Macaca fascicularis: one gene and its partners. The protein of the gene in region 1 interacts with the protein of each later gene in a pairwise test. Links are inferred from orthologs where the notes say so. Each region holds a gene or a part of one and is shown on either strand. Other genes may lie near its edges.

Evidence for each region.
Region 2: the proteins of CREB3 (region 1) and TECR interact in a two-hybrid assay, tested with the Homo sapiens proteins (2 studies listed by BioGRID and IntAct). The two-hybrid records come from large-scale screens. The link is inferred for Macaca fascicularis from reciprocal best matches to the Homo sapiens genes CREB3 and TECR.
Region 3: the proteins of CREB3 (region 1) and USE1 interact in a two-hybrid assay, tested with the Homo sapiens proteins (3 studies listed by BioGRID and IntAct). The link is inferred for Macaca fascicularis from reciprocal best matches to the Homo sapiens genes CREB3 and USE1.
Region 4: the proteins of CREB3 (region 1) and BCL2L1 interact in a two-hybrid assay, tested with the Homo sapiens proteins (2 studies listed by BioGRID and IntAct). The two-hybrid records come from large-scale screens. The link is inferred for Macaca fascicularis from reciprocal best matches to the Homo sapiens genes CREB3 and BCL2L1.

Annotation. Positions count from the first base shown.
Region 1 is NC_088389.1:63,665,254-63,669,480, forward strand, and holds the start of CREB3 (cyclic AMP-responsive element-binding protein 3), read right to left. Parts: upstream 2,801-4,227; 5' UTR 2,601-2,800; coding exon 2,472-2,600; intron 2,379-2,471; coding exon 2,228-2,378; intron 2,157-2,227; coding exon 2,089-2,156; intron 1,975-2,088; coding exon 1,885-1,974; intron 251-1,884; coding exon 144-250; intron 54-143; coding exon 1-53. UniProt on the Homo sapiens protein: Endoplasmic reticulum (ER)-bound sequence-specific transcription factor that directly binds DNA and activates transcription. Plays a role in the unfolded protein response (UPR), promoting cell survival versus ER stress-induced apoptotic cell death.
Region 2 is NC_088393.1:14,967,239-14,971,486, reverse strand, and holds the start of TECR (very-long-chain enoyl-CoA reductase), read right to left. Parts: upstream 2,801-4,248; 5' UTR 2,702-2,800; coding exon 2,687-2,701; intron 1-2,686. UniProt on the Homo sapiens protein: Involved in both the production of very long-chain fatty acids for sphingolipid synthesis and the degradation of the sphingosine moiety in sphingolipids through the sphingosine 1-phosphate metabolic pathway.
Region 3 is NC_088393.1:17,532,201-17,536,182, reverse strand, and holds the start of USE1 (vesicle transport protein USE1), read right to left. Parts: upstream 2,801-3,982; 5' UTR 2,784-2,800; coding exon 2,682-2,783; intron 2,390-2,681; coding exon 2,340-2,389; intron 2,202-2,339; coding exon 2,123-2,201; intron 2,026-2,122; coding exon 1,873-2,025; intron 740-1,872; coding exon 730-739; intron 1-729.
Region 4 is NC_088384.1:87,809,798-87,814,034, reverse strand, and holds the start of BCL2L1 (bcl-2-like protein 1), read left to right. Parts: upstream 1-1,437; 5' UTR 1,438-1,553; exon of another isoform or gene 1,554-1,666; intron 1,667-2,537; exon of another isoform or gene 2,538-2,788; intron 2,789-3,055; exon of another isoform or gene 3,056-3,073; 5' UTR 3,074-3,185; coding exon 3,186-3,749; intron 3,750-4,237. UniProt on the Homo sapiens protein: Potent inhibitor of cell death. Inhibits activation of caspases. Appears to regulate cell death by blocking the voltage-dependent anion channel (VDAC) by binding to it and preventing the release of the caspase activator, CYC1, from the mitochondrial membrane.

The DNA of each region.
Region 1 (4,227 bases):
GAAGCTGTACTTTGTTCTGAAGCTCCATATTCTGGGCTGTGTATTTCAAGACCCTGGGGGAAATAACAAAGATATGGGGATATGGCCTGTGTCCTCCCTTCAAAAACCTAACACTTAAAACTGAGTCCCTCTCCCTTTCATACCTGCTCTCTAAACCCCCAACATACACCTTCTTTTTCCTGCGGCTCTCTTGAGCAGATCTTTTATTTCGAATCTTCCTCCGCACACGTTTCAGAATTTGTTCCTCCATCTGAAAGGAAACAGGGAAAGGGGTATCATTAGAGGGACTCTAGAACAAGAAGTTGAAAGGCAACTGAGATCCATCTCTTTCCAATACAGAAATCCCTTCTACAGCTTCCCTGACCAATAGGCATTCACATTCTTTCTGAATGCCTCCACGGAGCACGTGTTAACCCTAACAAGCCAGACCATTTTAAACTATTAAAAAAAAAAATTGGTCAGGCAATATTCAAGTGACATGGCTCATGCCTGTAATCCCAACACTTTGGGGAGCTAAGGCAGGAGGACCGCTTGAGCCCAGGAGTTTGAGACCAGCCTGAGCAACACAGTGAGACCTTGTCTCTACTAAAAATAAATTAGCCGGGTGTGGTGGCACATGCCTGTGGTCCCTGCTCCTCAGGAGGCTGAGGAAGGACAATCGCTTGAGCCTGAGAGGTCAAAGCTGTAGTGAGCCATGATCTCACCACTATTCTCCAACCTGGGCAGTAAAGCAAGAATCTGTCTTCAAACAAAAACTTCCTTATCCTGAACCAACAGCTGTCTCCTTATAATTTCTATACGTTGGACTTACCTAGTATCTCTGGGGCCAAATAGAATGAACCCTGTTAAGCTATTTTCAGGCATTTGACATTTCCTCAGAGAAAAAAAGTTCAAGAAAAAAACAGCTTAGACAAAAATTTTAACTCATCTTCTTAGGATAGACTGCATCTTCTTAGTATCTGTCAAAGATGTGCTCTAGCCAGTATAAAGGAAAGCAAGATAGTGACTTGTGGAGACAATAACTCTTGCTACAGTTTCCAAATCCCATTAACTTTCCTAGTAGCCACATCGCACTGCTGACTCATCTTGTACTTTGAAGGAATTAAAATTCTTTACTTTTGGAGGCCAAGGTGGGTAGATCACTTGAGCACAGGCGTTCAAGACCAGCCTGGCAACAAGGCAAAACCCCATCTCTACTAAAAACACCAAAAAAAAAATTTGCCGGGCAGGGTGGTGTGCACCTGTAGTCTCAGCTACTCAGGAGGCTGAGGTGGGAGAATCACCTAAGCCCAGAAATTCAAGGCTGCAGTGTGCCATGATCACATCACTGCACTCCAGCCTGTGCAACAGAACAAGACCTTGTCAAAAAAAAAAAAAAAAATTCCTGGAACCTTTCTATTAATGAGCACTGATTTCATCATAGTATCCCAGTACTCTGCTTGTGAAGTTGCCACTGATTGCTTAAAACTGGAAACTAAGGATTTTGCATTTATTCATGTACTGCTTAGTCCAATCGTGTTGAACTCTCTAAACAGTTCTACCATTCAGCAAGAGGTGGATTACTATGAAGCCAATGAAGTGTCAAGGCCCTTCACTTACACAGTCCTTTCCAAGGCCCAATACTAATGTTGCACTGATAATTTTGAGGGTTTTTTTTTGTTTGTTTTTTAACAGAACACCAAAATTTGTGTAAGCCCAACGAAAATGAGGATCTGCCTTGCATCTAGCATATTGGGTACCTGCCTCAACTTCCTATTAGCAATAAATCTGCTAAGTTTCTCACCTCAATCCTTTTTTAAAGTTATTGATATAAAGTTAACAGAATTGGCCTACTTGAGACTTTTAATCCCTTTTCAGCCTTTGCTCAACTAACGAGAGTCTTACCTTAGTGAGAGGAAGTGTCTCAGGCAGAATAAGCCCCTCCTTCTCCAATAGACTCTTCTCCTCATCTGTCAGTACCAGCCTAACAATATCCTAGGGTAACCAGAAAGTGGGCGGCAGTTGCATGGGGATGTCACAGAGGAATGGGGAATCCTGCCCCCACCTGAGGAATGTGAGAGTAATCTTCCTGAAAATCAAGTCAAGTACCTGCTCTGCCAGCTCCTCCATATGCTGTGGAGTCATCTGGGTCCCCTCTTTTCTACAGCTCTCACTCTCTGCAAAAGGGAACGTATGAATAGCCAGGCCCATGAACCCTGTCCTCCCCGCAAACTTATTTCAGACTCACCTAGATCCATAGAGACAGGTTCTCGTGGGAGGGAGTAGGTGTGGTCATGGTGGACAAGGCAGGGGTTGGAGTTGCTGAGAACGTTCAACGACGACGCTGGGGGACTCAGCAGGGAGCTCAGCAAATCATCTACCTCCCAGTCGCTCGGTACCTGCGCAGGGTTCCAGTGAACAGGCCTTGACCTATCACCATCCCCTGACCTCATGGACATCCCACGCTTTCCCCAGTCAGAACCCCAACGCACCTCAGAAAGCGGCAGCTCCCAGTCCAGTGGGGCCCTCACGGACTCATCGGGCGCCGTCCTCAAATCTCCACTTTCCTCTAGCAGGAAGCCCAGTAGGTCTTGGTCACCAGCGTCCAATTCCAGCTCCATTTGGGACAACTACGGAAAGGGTGGGCTACCGGGCCCCAACGTCCGAAGCCCAGACACGAGCCCCAGGCCAGCTGTAGGCCTCGGGCACCTATCCACTGTCCCTCTACGGCCGGGCTTCCCGGCCGGGGGCTTTCCGTAGCCCTCTCCGGACCCGCCTCCCAGGCTCAATTCTCCTCAGCCTCCAACGCAGCGAAAGTGACGCACCCCACCCCGTGGCACTGTGGGACTTGGAGTTCCCTCCAACTGAGAAGAGGCCTGGGTGCCGCGCCACGTCCCAGGGGCTATGCAAATGTAGGGGACGGCCCTGCTGCCGCCTCGCACCCCGAGGGCGGGGGTTCCAGGGCTCCGGCTCCGCCTTCTCCCCCAAGCTAGAAAAAGGAAGAGTTCTGGCCTGAAAGGGAACTCGGGCGTCGTCTTGGCGTTCTCTCCGGATTGCGCCGCACCCTCGCTTCCTGCCAGGGAGGGGCTGCCGGCCTTTGGCGGCCCCCGAGCATCGAGAACGCGGCCAGAGCAGCTTCCTGCCTGCCCCCCGCGACCATAGAGCGCTGCCCCAGGGCGCCGCCCGCGGGTGGGGGACGTTCCCAGGACGGAAGTGGCCGAGAGAGTGTCGAAGGGAGGGCGAGGCCGGAGCCCGAGGGCGACCCGAGAAGCGGCAGGGCAGCGGGCCGGCGGGCCGGCAGGCGGGGCGCAGAGCCGGGCAGCGCAGGTAGGCCAGACCGGGCCGGGCGGGGGCCTTAGGGTGGGGCCGCGGAGCCTGGCCCCGGGGGCGGGCGGGGCCCTGCCTCTCCTGCGTGTCCGGTTCGGGTTCTGTTAGTTGGAGAGGTCAGCGTCCAGCGCATCTCAACTTGGGCTCATCGTGAAGTAGGCCGTCTTAGGGGAGACAGGCCTCTCCTGGGGGCAGTCCTCTGCCTGGGATAGGCTTTGGGGAGCGTGAGGAGTCGGGTGGCAGCGGGGCGCAGGACGGGGACGGGCTTTGGTGTTAGCTGATAGCGGCCATGTGGGTAGGAAAGCTTTGGGTGAGTTGGGGATTAGGTGGGGTCCGTTTAGGAATCAAGGGTCGCTATAGGAGTTAAAAGCTGGGGTTAAAACTTAAGAGTTAGTAGTGTGAGTCAGGTCCGTTTTAGGTAGGTAAGGTTTAGATTAAGGTCATTATTTTGTTTGCTGGGATGGCCATCATACGTCATAATTTGAGTTCAGGGTCGGGTTAAGGGTCAACAACAGGAATCAGGTTAGAGCCTGTTTGAGGGATTAAAGAATGTTGACATGGTCGGTATTAAGGATAAACAGTGAAAGTGTGAGTTAGGAATCAAGTTACAAATGAACTTTAGGCTTAGGGGTCAACATTTAGGGTTAACATCAGGCGATTTGGTGCTAAAGGTAAAACTTAGATCAGTATCAGGGATCAGGGATTGGATATGAGTCTCTGCTGGGAAAGGGATGAATGTCCAAGCCGGTAGTGGGAATCAGGAAACAAATTAGAGGTGGGGTTAATGTTAGGAATTTGGGGCAACTTTAGGGGTTGTAATTGAGGCTAGCATAGTTGGCCTTGAGCAGATGAAATTTAAGAGGTTGGCAGTAGGTAAATGCCCTTCTTTTGTAGGGAAGTCCTTTATTCCTGTGTAGTTAC
Region 2 (4,248 bases), on another chromosome or scaffold:
TCTCCATGTTGGCCAGGCTGGTCTCGAACTCCTGACCTCAAGTGATCCAGCCACCTCAGCCTACCAAAGTGCTCAATTACAGGCATGAGCCACCATGCCCGGCCAAAGCTCCCCCTTCTTTCTGGGAGAGAAAAGGATTAAGTATGGTAGAGCATATTCTCCAGTCCAAGTCTTGGGCCTCAGGCTGTGCCCAGCTTCCTGAAACAAAAGCGCTCACCCCCAGGGTGCTCAGAGGCCTACTTTATCTGACTGTTAACTAGCAAAACTAAACCAGCTACATTTTGCAAAATGCCATATGGATGTTCCAAACTGCATGTTTCAAGCTGGACGTGGTAGCTTTTTTTTTTTTTTTTCTTGAAACAGGGTCTCTGTTGCCAAGGCTGGAGTGCAGTGGCCTGATTTCTGGGCTCACTGCAGCCTCAACCTCTTGGGCTCAAGCCATCCTCCTGCCTCAGCCTCCCGAGTAGCTGAGACTACAGTAGTGGGACTACAGGTTTAGACACAGAGTTTGAGAGGGGAATCCATATCAGAACTTTATTCTAGAATGAAAACGTAAATGACATATTAGAGATTATTGAATACAAACCTCCTCATTGTTGATACCATGTCAAAAATTACAGGATTTCTGAGTTAAAGGCTTCTAAGGGGCCAGGCACAGGGGCTCACGCCTGTAATCCCAGGACTTTGAGAGGCCAAGGTGGGTGGATCACCTGAGGTCGGGGGTTCGAGACCAGCCTGACCAACATGGAGAAACCCCGTCTCTACTAAAAATACAAAATTAGCCAGGCTTGGTGGCTCATGCTTGTAATTCCGGCTACTCAGGAGGCTGAGGCAGGAGAATCACTTGAACCTGGGAGGTGAAGGTTACTTGAACCTGGAAGGTGGAGGTTGCAGTGAGCCGAGATCACGCCACTGCACTCCAGCCTGCACAACAAGAGTGAAACTCTGTCTAAAAACAAAAAACAAAAAACAAAGGCTTCAAAGGATTGTGGGTAAATTTCCAGAAATAACAACAATAAAGAGGGCAGGGAGTAGAGGTAGTAATATTCAACTTGTGAATAAAAACAGCCAAGCGTGCTACCTCACACCTGTAATCCCACTACTTTGGGAGGCCGAGGCGGGCGAATCACTTGAGGTCAGGAGTTTGAGGCCAGCCTGGCCAACATGGTGAAACCCCCGTCTCTACTAAAAATACAAAAAATTAGCCGGGCATGGTGGCAGGCACCTGTAATCCTAGCTATTCGGGAGGCCGAGGCAGGAGAATCACTTAAACCCAGAAGGCGGAGGTTGCAGTGGGCCAAGATCGCGCCATTGCACTCCAGCCCGGGCAATAAGACCGAAACTCTGTCTCCAGAAAGAAAAAAAAAAAAAAAAATTCCTTCTACGTATCCAGGGTACCTAGAGTAGTCAATTCATTGAGACGGAAAGCAGAAGGGTGGTTGCCAGAGGCGGAGGTGAAGAGGAATGGGGAATTAGAATTTAATGGCTACACCTTCTGTTTTGCAAGATGCAAAGAGTTCTGGAGATGGGTGGTGGGGATGGTTGTACAACAACGTGAATGTTCTTAATGCCACTGAACTGTACACTTAAACATAGTTAAGATGGTAACTTTTATGTGTATTTTGCCAGAATTTTTTAAAGTGGAGGGGAAGTGAGAAACAAGAAATCGCTCGACCTGCTGTTTTTCGTTTGAGGACCAGCATGGCATAGTGGCTAGGAACTAAGACCTTGGCGTCCTGAGTTCTCCTATCTGTTTTGCATTTACTAGCAAGGGGCCTCTGAACAAGTCACTTGATATCTCTGAGACTTTATTCATCCTTACAAACAGGAGTAATAATAGTTCTTATACAAGGTAACAGAATCTCACCAGCACAACAGTAAGCACTTGCTAAATTGTTCTTACTTTGAATTCTGGTAACAAATTTTATTATTTGATGATAGTTACTTAAAAGTCAGCAATAATTCAGGGACAATTGGTTGAATTATTAATATCATATTATCATCTAGGGCGATAAGCACATCAAACGGCTTCGTTTTAGGGGAAAAAGTGACCCAAGTTAGGAGTCAGAAGACATGGGCTTCAAGAGTGGCTGTGCGTGGTAGATTTCTGCTTGATGACACCCAAGGGTTGACGGAGATGACCTTAGATAACCAGAAAGCAAGATCGGCTTCGCTGCTCTGCGAAAGCCAGCAGTGGAGCTGCACCTCCCTCACCGCCTAAGTCTCCCGGGAACGTCCCGGGCGAGGGAAGGGGTCCAAAGGTCGTACATAAAGACTGATTGCAAAGCCCCTTCCTACGCTGGTGGCGGCAGCGTGGCGCAAGATTTGTGCAAGACTCCCTCGGATTGGGAGCAAGGGTCCCGCACCTTCGTGGCTTCCATGACAAAGTCTGCAACTCAGCCCGCCGGGGGAGCTACAAGGAACCTGCAAGCGTCCCAGCCCCTGCAGAGACCCCCCAAAAAAAGCACCCCCAAAACAGCCTGGGTTGCAGATTTATAAATACCTCCTCCGCACATGCGCATTGGAATTTACGAGTGGCCGGGGGCGCAACGCTTGCCCACTGCGCCTGCGCCGTCCGACTCTTCCTTCGGGGCACAGGACCAGAAAGTGGGGTCCCGTGGTCCCGCAAAGAAGGAAAAAGAATGGGTCAGCAGTGGCCACACGGTCCCTGTTTCTCGCTTCTTACCTCGTAGTGCTTCATGGCTCCCTCCCACGGCGGCTACTGCTCCGCGGCTGCTGCTGCCGAACTGCGCGGCACAGGACAGGATACCCAGAGCGCTCGCGACCGCTGCGCTAGACTAAACGCGGCTGTGCGTCCGCCCCGCCCCTCCCGGCCGCGCGCGCCCCGTCGGCCAATCAGGGCACGAGGCGCCCACCTTCGCCCCTTCTCCTTGGGGACGGTCCGAACCAAGACTAGGGCTAGCACCAGGGATTGACCAATCAGCTTGCGAGAGCCACCGAAGGGGGCGTAGCGCCTGTAGGAGGGGCTAAAGAGAAGGGGCTTGACCATCCGCCAATCCAAAGGAGGCCTCTGCGCCGCGCGTCCCTTTGCCACGCCCCCTGATGGCGTCGCTGTGGAAACCAAGGTAAGCGACCGTTAGGCCAGACGGGGGGGCGGGGCAAGAAGTTGAGTGACAGGCAAGGCAGCATCCACATGACAGGCGGCGCCGACGGGGTAAATTCTGAGGTGGGAGGCTCCCGGGGTACAGCGGGAACAGCAGGAGAGGGCTAGGGACTGGGGTCGCGGGCTGCGGAGTCTGGATGGCGATGCCACTACGGGAGGAGACTCTTGAGTGGAAGGGAAGGAAGGGGGAAATGGGGTGGCGAAAAGCTCCCCATTTGGGAACCCCCAACCTGCAACCTTGAGCCCCAGCCCCATTCTGGGGGTGGCTTCACTGCCGTTTTTAATGAAAGCCCCCGCCCCACTTTGTTTTTTTGTTTTGTTTTGTTTTTGAAACACTTTCATTCTGTCCCCCAAGCTGGAGGGCAGTGGCACAATGACGGCTGACCGCAACCTCTGCCTCCTAGGTTCAAGCGATTGTCATGCCTCAGCCTCCCGAGTAGCTGAGATTACAGGCGCCCGCCACCACGCCCGGCTAATTTTTGTATTTTTTTAGTAGAGAGGGGTTTCACCATGTTGGCCATGCTGGTCTTGAACTCCTGACCTCAGGTGATCCTCCCGCCTCAGCCTCCCAAAGTGCTGGGATTACAGGGGTGAGCCACCGCGGCCGGCTCCCTCCTCACTTTGCTCCGTCCTATGGACAGGGGAACTACATTTGTCTCTGCTTGACTTGGTCCAGAATGCTGTCTAGTGGCTCCACGGGGCCACTGAGCCCTTGAAATGGGGCTGGTCTAGGCCAGGCACGGTGGCTCACGCCTGTAATCCCAGCACCTTGGGAGGACAAGGGGGGCATATCACCAGGTGAGGAGTTGGAGACCAGCATGACCAATATGGTGAAACCCCGTCTCTACTGAAAATACAAAAATTGGCCGGGCGCGGTGTCTCAAGCCTGTAATCCCAGCACTTTGGGAGGCCGAGGAGGGCGGACCACAAAGTCAGGGGATCAAGACCATCCTGGCTAACACGGTGAAACCCCGTCTCTACTATAAATACAAAAAATTAGCCGGGTGTGGTGGCGGGCGCCTGTAGTCCCAGCTACTTGGGAGGCTGAGGAAGGAGAATGGCGTGAACCCAGGAGGCGGAGTTTGCAGTGAGCTGAGATCCGGCCACTGCACTCCAGCCTGGGC
Region 3 (3,982 bases), on another chromosome or scaffold:
TTTCCCTCAGACCCCAGATCCCTCCCTCCAGCCTAGCCTTGGTCCCATAGGCTGGGCGTGCCTAGCTTTAACAAATTTATCTATTTGCTTATTTTTGAGATAGAGTCTTTCTCTGTCAACCACGCTGGAGTGCACTGGCGCGATCTCAGCTCACTGCAACCTCCCCCTCCCAGCCTCAAGCAATCCTCCTGCCTCAGCCCCCCAAATAGCTGGGACTATAGGTGTGCGTCACCACGCCTGGCTAATTTTTTTCCTTTTTTTTTTTTTGAGAGGGAGTCTTGCTGTGTCACCCTGGCTGGAGTGCAGTGGTGTGATCTCAGCTCATTGCAACCTCCACCTCCTGGGTTCAAGCAATTCTCCTGCCTCAGCCTCCTGAGGAGCTGGGACTACAGACAGGCGGCACTGCATCCGGCTAAGTTCTGTATTTTTAGTAGAGACAAGGTTTGGTCATGTTGGCCAGGCTGGTCTCAAACTCCTGACCTCAAGTGATCCACCTGCCTCAGCCTCCCAAATTGCCGGGATTACAGGTGTGAGCCACTGTGCCCGGCAGGAGTGCCTAGCTCTGTTTCCTCTCGGGGTCATTTCCTCTGTCCTGGCTCTTCCTCCACGTGTAATTTGGTTATGTTGCTGTTGGAGTCAGGCTGGGCATGGAGGCCCCAGGGCAGCAAGGATGTATGTCTTGTCCTAGGCAGCTGGCCCTCAAGTCCTGTTGTGTTCATGGTGACTCACCTGCAGAGTCCTGTGGAAAGAAGTAAGTGGCATGAGACTGGGTGCGGTGGCTCACTCCCAGCACTTTGGGAGGCCGAGGTGGGCAGGTCACCTGAGGTCAGGAGTTCGAGACCAGCCTGGCCAACGTAATGAAACCCCATCTCTACTAAAAATACAAAAAATTAGCCAGTTGTGGTAGGGGTGCCTGTGATTCCATGGCTCAGGAGGCTGAGGCAGAAGAATCTCTTGAACCCAGGAGGCGGAGGTTGCAGTGAGCCGAGATCGCCCCACTGCACTCCAGCCTCGGCAACAAGAGTGAATCTCCATCTCAAAAAAAAAAAAAAAAAAGTAAATGCCATGAAGTCACCCCCCTTGTCTTGTTCCCAAACCTGTCCCTTCTGATCTCAACCTTTTCACCTTCAGTCAGGACATAGGGAAATCCCATGACCTCTGAGCCTGTTTCCTCAACTATAAACTGGTAACAACCACTCATATATATATATTTTTTGAGATGGAGTTTTGCTCTTATTGCCCAGGCTGGAGTGCAATGGCTCAATCTTGGCTCACCGCTACCTCTGCCTCCCAGGTTCAAGCGATTCTCCTGTCTCAGACTCTTGAGTAGCTGGGATTACAGGCATGTGCCACCACGCCCAGCTAATTTTGTATTTTTAGTAAAGACGGGGTTTCTCCATGTTGGTCAGGCTGGTCTCTAACTCGCGACCTCAAATGATCTGCCCGCCTTGGCCTCCAAAGTGCTGGGATTACAGGCTTGAGCCACCGCGCCCGGCCAACAACTCATATTTTAAAAGATTGAGCTGATCCACATAAAGTGCTCAGAAAGGAACTTGTCATCTTCTTTTACAGCTGAAGAAACTTTCGTGTCTTGTAAGTTGCAAGCCAGGACTCAAACCCTGCTCTTGGGCCAACTCTGGGGCTTAACCTGACACGTTCCATTTCTGCCTTGTACCAAATTTGCTATTCATCTAGCAAAGCCTTAGCCACAGTGCCCCTCTGTTGGGCGGCCTTGTGTGATGACCCAGGGAAGCGATTGCTGGACCCCCTCAGAGCCCCTGTATCTGACAGTATTGTGGTTCCGGCTGCCTGCAGGCATAGAACCCCCGTCCCTGTCCAAGGGGTTCCCAGGGACCAGGAAAGGAGCCCTACCGTGCCTAGTAGCTCACTCCGCATCTCGCTGGTGTACCGCGCCCGTGACTGCAGATGCACCGTCTTTGTGGCGGGCACTCGCTCTCTGGCTGTGGTTGGCACACGGCCAGGGGCCAGGAACTGGTTGGCCAGTGCTTTCTCTGAGGAGGAGGTCTGCAAAAATGTGGGAAGAGAAGTCACTGGAGGGGCAGGTCCTGGGGACGAAAGTGAGCAGTGATGGGGGCTGAGGGGGAGGGGCACCCCTTCTCACCAGCTTCTCGGCTTGCAGCATCCCCTTCAGAAAATCCACCTTCCAGGAATATTCATTGATCACCTCAGAGGCCGGTTTGCTGGGAGGTAGGAAGAAGAAAAAGAAAACCTGTCCATGGTCCCCAGCTCAGGGAAGGGTCCCAGCTGGGACAGCGGTACTGGGATGTCCCAGAATAGCCACGTGCTGATGTGAAAGCAGTAAGGCTGCCTGCACTCACCTCGCGTGGACCTTCAGGGCCTGCAACATGTCCTCCAGGGCTCCCACGTACTGGGGAGGAAAAGTGGATTGTCACCCGGGGGTCGTTCCCACGTCCTGCTCATGGGAGTGGGGGGCGGGGCCGACAAATGGGAGGGGTCAAGCGCAAAGGAGGCGGGGCCAGTGGGGGAGGGGCGGAGTCCCAGGGACGGGGGCGGAAGCTACAGGTAGACGTGGCGGGACTGACCGGAAAGGGCGCTGCCCGAGAGGCTACTGGGGCAGGGGAGTCCGGCTAGGTGGCTTCCAACCCTAGGAACCACCCCCCGGGAGTCGGACTCTACGCGGCAGTGCGAGATCCCCTCACCTTCTCCAGGCGCCACTCGTCCGGGTCCCGTTTCTCCGCTGCCATCGCCTCGCAGCGGGATAGTAGCCGCACCAGGTTCAGCTCCAGCCTCGACGCCGCCATTATCGCCCGGTCCTACCCCGCCCCTTCCGCCGGCGCCATGTTAAGAGAGGGCGGAAGTGCCTTCAAGTGGCCTTCCGGGCGGATGTTTCGCCTGCTCCAGTTCGCTGGCCCATCTTTGTTTGGAGCAGAAGTAATACCTTGTTTTGAGGCGGGGCGCTGGGCCGGGCGCGCTGCCTCAGGGCTGTAATGCCAGCATTTTAGGAGGCGGAGTTGGGAAAGGATTGCTTGAAGCCAGGAGTTCGAGGCCAGCCCGGGCAATATAGCGCGACCCTACCTCTATTTTAAAAAAATAGGAGAGGCGCCACCCCATTCTTTCTTACTCAGGCGAATCACTTCCTTTTCTTCGAGAGCGTGTTAACCCTTCGGGAATGATAGGACGACCGGGATCTTCGGGTGTCAGACCCCCCTGCACTGTGCCCTCTTGTTCTGTTTTGCTTGCTCGAAGTACCTCCCCCCACCCCACTACTACCTGGATTCTTCCCAGTCGGAGCTGTTTCACCTCCGCGCGCCCTTCCCGATTTCTCTTGTAGGAGGGGCTCTAGCCTGGAATTCAGGAATCCAAGGCTTCCCCCACCTCAGCGGGGCTCATCCGTATTGTGGTTATGAGCTTCCAGGTCACAGCTCCAGCTCTGATTCCATCCCCGGCCCTGGGCGAGTTTAACTTTTCTTGATCCGTTTCTTACCCCGGGAAATGTACAGTGTGACAGTACCTGCCTCAAGGGTGATATGGGGCAGCTCTGCCTCAGAGTGAGCAAGGTGGGGCTGGGTCCCCCCTAACGCCCAGACCCCCGTGGAGAGAACCCCTTCCCAGCCCACCTCATTACCTGGAAGCTGAGTACCCCTATGCCTGCAGTGCCACGCTTCTGGAGTGAGAGGATGAGGGTGGGGGCTTCACAGGGACCAGGGCCTGGCATGCAGCCCTCATGTTTTCCCATACCTTAGATCACCTGTATCTTGGTCACACCAGTGGGCCTGATGTCCTTGAAAAATATCATAGACGGATGGGCGCAGTGGCTCACGCCTGTAATCCCAGCACTTAGGGAGGCTGAGGCAGGTGATCAACTGAGGTCAGGAGTTTGAGACCAGCCTGGCCAACATGGTGAAACCCCGTCTCTACTAAAAATACAAAAATTAGCTGGGTGTGATGGTGGGTGCCTGTGATCCCAGCTACTTGGGAAGCTGAGGCAGGCAAATCGCTT
Region 4 (4,237 bases), on another chromosome or scaffold:
TTTGGGAGGCTGACACAGACGGATCACTTGAGCCCAGGGGTTTGAGACCAACCTGGGCAACATGGGGAAACTCCATTCTCTACAGAAAATACAAAAATTAGCTGGGCGTGGAAGTGCGAGCCTGTATTCACAACTACTGGGGAGGCTGAGGTGGGAGGATCACCTGGGATGGGGAGGTCAAGGCTGCTGTGAGCTGAGATCACACCATTGCACTGCACACTGAGTGACAGACAGACCCTGTCTCAAAAAAAAAAAAAAAAAAAAAAAAAGGCCAGGCACGGTGGCTCAGGCCTATAATCCCAGCACTTTGGGAGGCTGAGGCAGGCAGATCGCCTGAGGTCAGCAGTTGGAGACCAGCCTGGCCAAAATGGTGAAACCCTGTCTCTACTAAAAATACAAAAATTAGCTGGGCGTGGTGGTGTGCACCTGTAGTCCCAGATACTAGGGAGGCTGAGGCAGGACAATCACTTGAACCTGGGGGGCAGAGTTTACAGTCAGCCAAGATAGCACCACTGCACTCCAGCCTGGGCAACAGAGCAAGACTCTGTCTCAAACAAACCACAACAACAACAACAAATGAGGAAAAAGTTCAACAGAAAGACCACCTGGAAAGGGGGTAAACAATATGAAGAGAATTCACCAATACAAGATCCACCCTCCAAAGAAAGACTAAAAAAATGACAAATTGCTCAACTTCATTCATAATAAAAAAAAGAAATATGAAAGTGCCTTCGGTTTTTACCCATCTAATTGGCAAAGATAAAACATTTGATAACACACTGTGTGGTTCAGGATGTAAGGAAATTGGCCGGGCGCGGTGGCTCACGCCTGTGATTCTCCTGTAAACGATACTCCTGCCTCAGCCTCCCGAGTAGCTGGGATTACAAGCATGCGCCACTAGGCCCAGCTAATTTTTTGTATTTTTAGTAGAGACGGGGTTTCACCATGTTGGGCAGGCTGGTTTTGAATTCCTGACCTCAGGTAATCCGCCCGCCTCGGCCTCCCAAAGTGCTGGGATTACAGGCGTGAGTCACCACGCCCGGCCTGTCCTATGGACTTTACAATTAATAACTTTTTAAATCATCACAATAGCTCAACGAGAGAGGTTGGTACTATTACCCATTTTACAATTGAGGACATTGAAGCGCAGAGCAGTTGAGAAACTTGCCTAACTGGCAGAGTTAGAATCCAGACAAAGTGCTTAACCACAAGGCGATGCTTCTTCTATATATAAACTGACGGACGGATGAAATAGGCTGATTGACTGATGACTGACTGACTGACTGAATTAATGAATACATGGAAATGTGATTATAAATGTTGATTTTTTGCGCCTTCCGATTCCCCGGATCTACCGCGAGGGGGCGATCTCTCCCCGGTCCTGATGCCAGTCACTCAAGGCGCGCACTCCCTTTGCGTCTCGGGCTCGCGCGCGTTGCCGCAGCACCGGAAGTGACTGAGCTTGCAAGTTCCCCCGTCTCTTCAGGGGAAACTGAGGCCGGCTTGTTCGGGAGAGACGGCGCGAGCAGTCAGCCAGGTAGGCCGGCAGCCAGGTAGGCCGGCCCGGGTCCGCGGCGCGGAACTCGGCCGCGAAGAGCTCTCGCGTCTGGAAGCTACCGGGCCGATGAAGGGGGATGTGGCCCCCCACGGCTCGCGGGGCTCACAGGTGAGAGCGCCGCCTCCCCTGTGCCTGACAGCCGCTGCGCCCAATAGGAGCCTTCGCCGTCCCGCTTCCGTGCCGGCTAGGCTCGCTGATTGGCGGCGCTGGGGAGGACCGCCGGGGGCGAGGCCCCTCCTCCTAGAAAGGTCTAGGGGGCGCCCCCGGGGGAGGGCGGTTGCTTAGCAACGGGGCGGTGGCTCGGCGGGTACCGGGCCTAGTGAGCGCGAGAAGCCGCGAGGCCGCAACCGGCCCACCCTGGGCTCCGGAGAGGTGCAGCCCCCGGCCCCGGAGCCCTCCCGGGGGCGCCAGGAAGCCACTTTGGGCCTGTCCCCAGGAAAACGTGGTCTCAGCTGTGGGGCCGTCGAGCAGGCCTCGACCCCTCTTCCTGACCTGAGGAGAGGCCCAGCGCCTCACCCTCACCCAGTCTTTGTGCAGGGCGCCGGCGGCCATTGTGTCCGGGCGGGGAATGGAGGACCCGGCAATTCCCCACCGCCACGTTCAGGGCCTTTGGGGAATTCAAAGAAAACCAGCGGCATTTGTGGGGGGTCTCCGGCCTTCAACCTCCCAGACAGGCCTGGGGGTGGCCTTCCCAAAGTCAGATCGCAGATCCGAGGCAGTTTCCCCCTCCCTGCGTCCCTCACCGAAACCTTGAACCCCATTGAGAAGTCCCTTCAGGGTTTCGGACGCCTCCACCTCACCCTGGGCTGGTACTTAAATAGAAAAAAGAAAGGAAAAAAAAAAACCAACTAAATCCATACCAGCCACCTCCGGGAGAGTTCTCCTGGCTCCCAGTAGGAGGCGGAGAGCCAAGGGGCGTGCAAGAGCGAGGGGGCTGGGCTCCCGGGTGGCAGGAGGCCGCGGCTGCGGAGCGGCCGCCCTCGATCCGGGCGATGGAGGAGGAAGCAAGCGAGGGGGCTGGTTCCTGAGCTTCGCAATTCCTGTGTCGCCTTCTGGGCTCCCAGCCTGCCAGGTCGCATGATCCCTCCGGCCGGAGCTGGGTTTTTTGCCAGCCGCCGCGAGGCCGGCTGAGTTACCGGCATCCCCGCAGCCACCTCCTCTCCCGACCTGTGATACAAAAGATCTTCCGGGGGCTGCACCTGCCTGCCTTTGCCTAAGGCGGATTTGAATGTAGGTGGTGCGGGGGAGAGGGAGTGAGGGGGGGACTGCCCAAGGGGTGACTTTCCGAGGAAGGCATTTCGGAGAAGAGGGGGGTAGAAAAGGCTGGTGGGAGATTCAGAGTCCACTGGTGCTTTCGATTTGACTTAATTGAAGTATCTTGGAACCTAGATCCAGACCTTCGTAAGACCCACAAAGAAACCAGTTCTGGTACCTGGAGGGGGAATGGGATGTTTAGGGTAAGTGGCATGCATATTAATTTTTTTTTTTTTCCTAAAGCTCTTTCTCTCCCTTCAGAATCTTATCTTGGCTTTGGATCTTAGAAGAGAATCACTAACCAGAGACCAGACTCAGTGAGTGAGCAGGTGTTTTGGACAATGGACTGGTTGAGCCCATCCCTATTATAAAAATGTCTCAGAGCAACCGGGAGCTGGTGGTTGACTTTCTCTCCTACAAGCTTTCCCAGAAAGGATACAGCTGGAGTCAATTTAGTGATGTGGAAGAGAACAGGACTGAGGCCCCAGAAGGGACTGAATCGGAGATGGAGACCCCCAGTGCCATCAATGGCAACCCATCCTGGCACCTGGTGGACAGCCCCGCGGTGAATGGAGCCACTGGCCACAGCAGCAGTTTGGATGCCCGGGAGGTGATCCCCATGGCAGCAGTAAAGCAAGCGCTGAGGGAGGCAGGCGACGAGTTTGAACTGCGGTACCGGCGGGCGTTCAGTGACCTGACATCCCAGCTCCACATCACCCCAGGGACAGCATATCAGAGCTTTGAACAGGTAGTGAATGAACTCTTCCGGGATGGGGTAAACTGGGGTCGCATTGTGGCCTTTTTCTCCTTCGGCGGGGCACTGTGCGTGGAAAGCGTAGACAAGGAGATGCAGGTATTGGTGAGTCGGATCGCAGCTTGGATGGCCACTTACCTGAATGACCACCTAGAGCCTTGGATCCAGGAGAACGGCGGCTGGGTAAGAACCAAGCCCCTTGTGTGTCCCTTTTCTTTGGCCTCTGGTCAGAGATCCCCAACTGCCCTTCTTCTGTATCTCTCTGTTAGGTTGGGTGATTGTTGGAGACATTGATAGTTGAGGAAACCTGATCTCATTTCACGACAAGAGGTTAACTCCCTGGAAATATAAATGACCCGGTGCTTCAGAGATCAGGCATCTTTTACCCTGGTCACCCCCATGACTCCACTATTCCATACTTGTGTTCCAGTTTCTTAGCAAAGAAAACTATAGCCTATGTGTTCATTAAGTCCCAAACCTGTGAGGGTAGGAAGTTAGTTTGGTGTTTCCCTTACCGTATACAATGGTTCACACACAAAAGGGTGATGAGTATCAGTGACCCACAGACCTCTCCATCTGTTCCCCCTAGGGGTCTCAGTCCTATCCTGGGCTTCTCTTCTCCAAATCAAGTTCCCTTGGCCGGGCGCGGTGGCTCAAGCTTGTAATCCCAG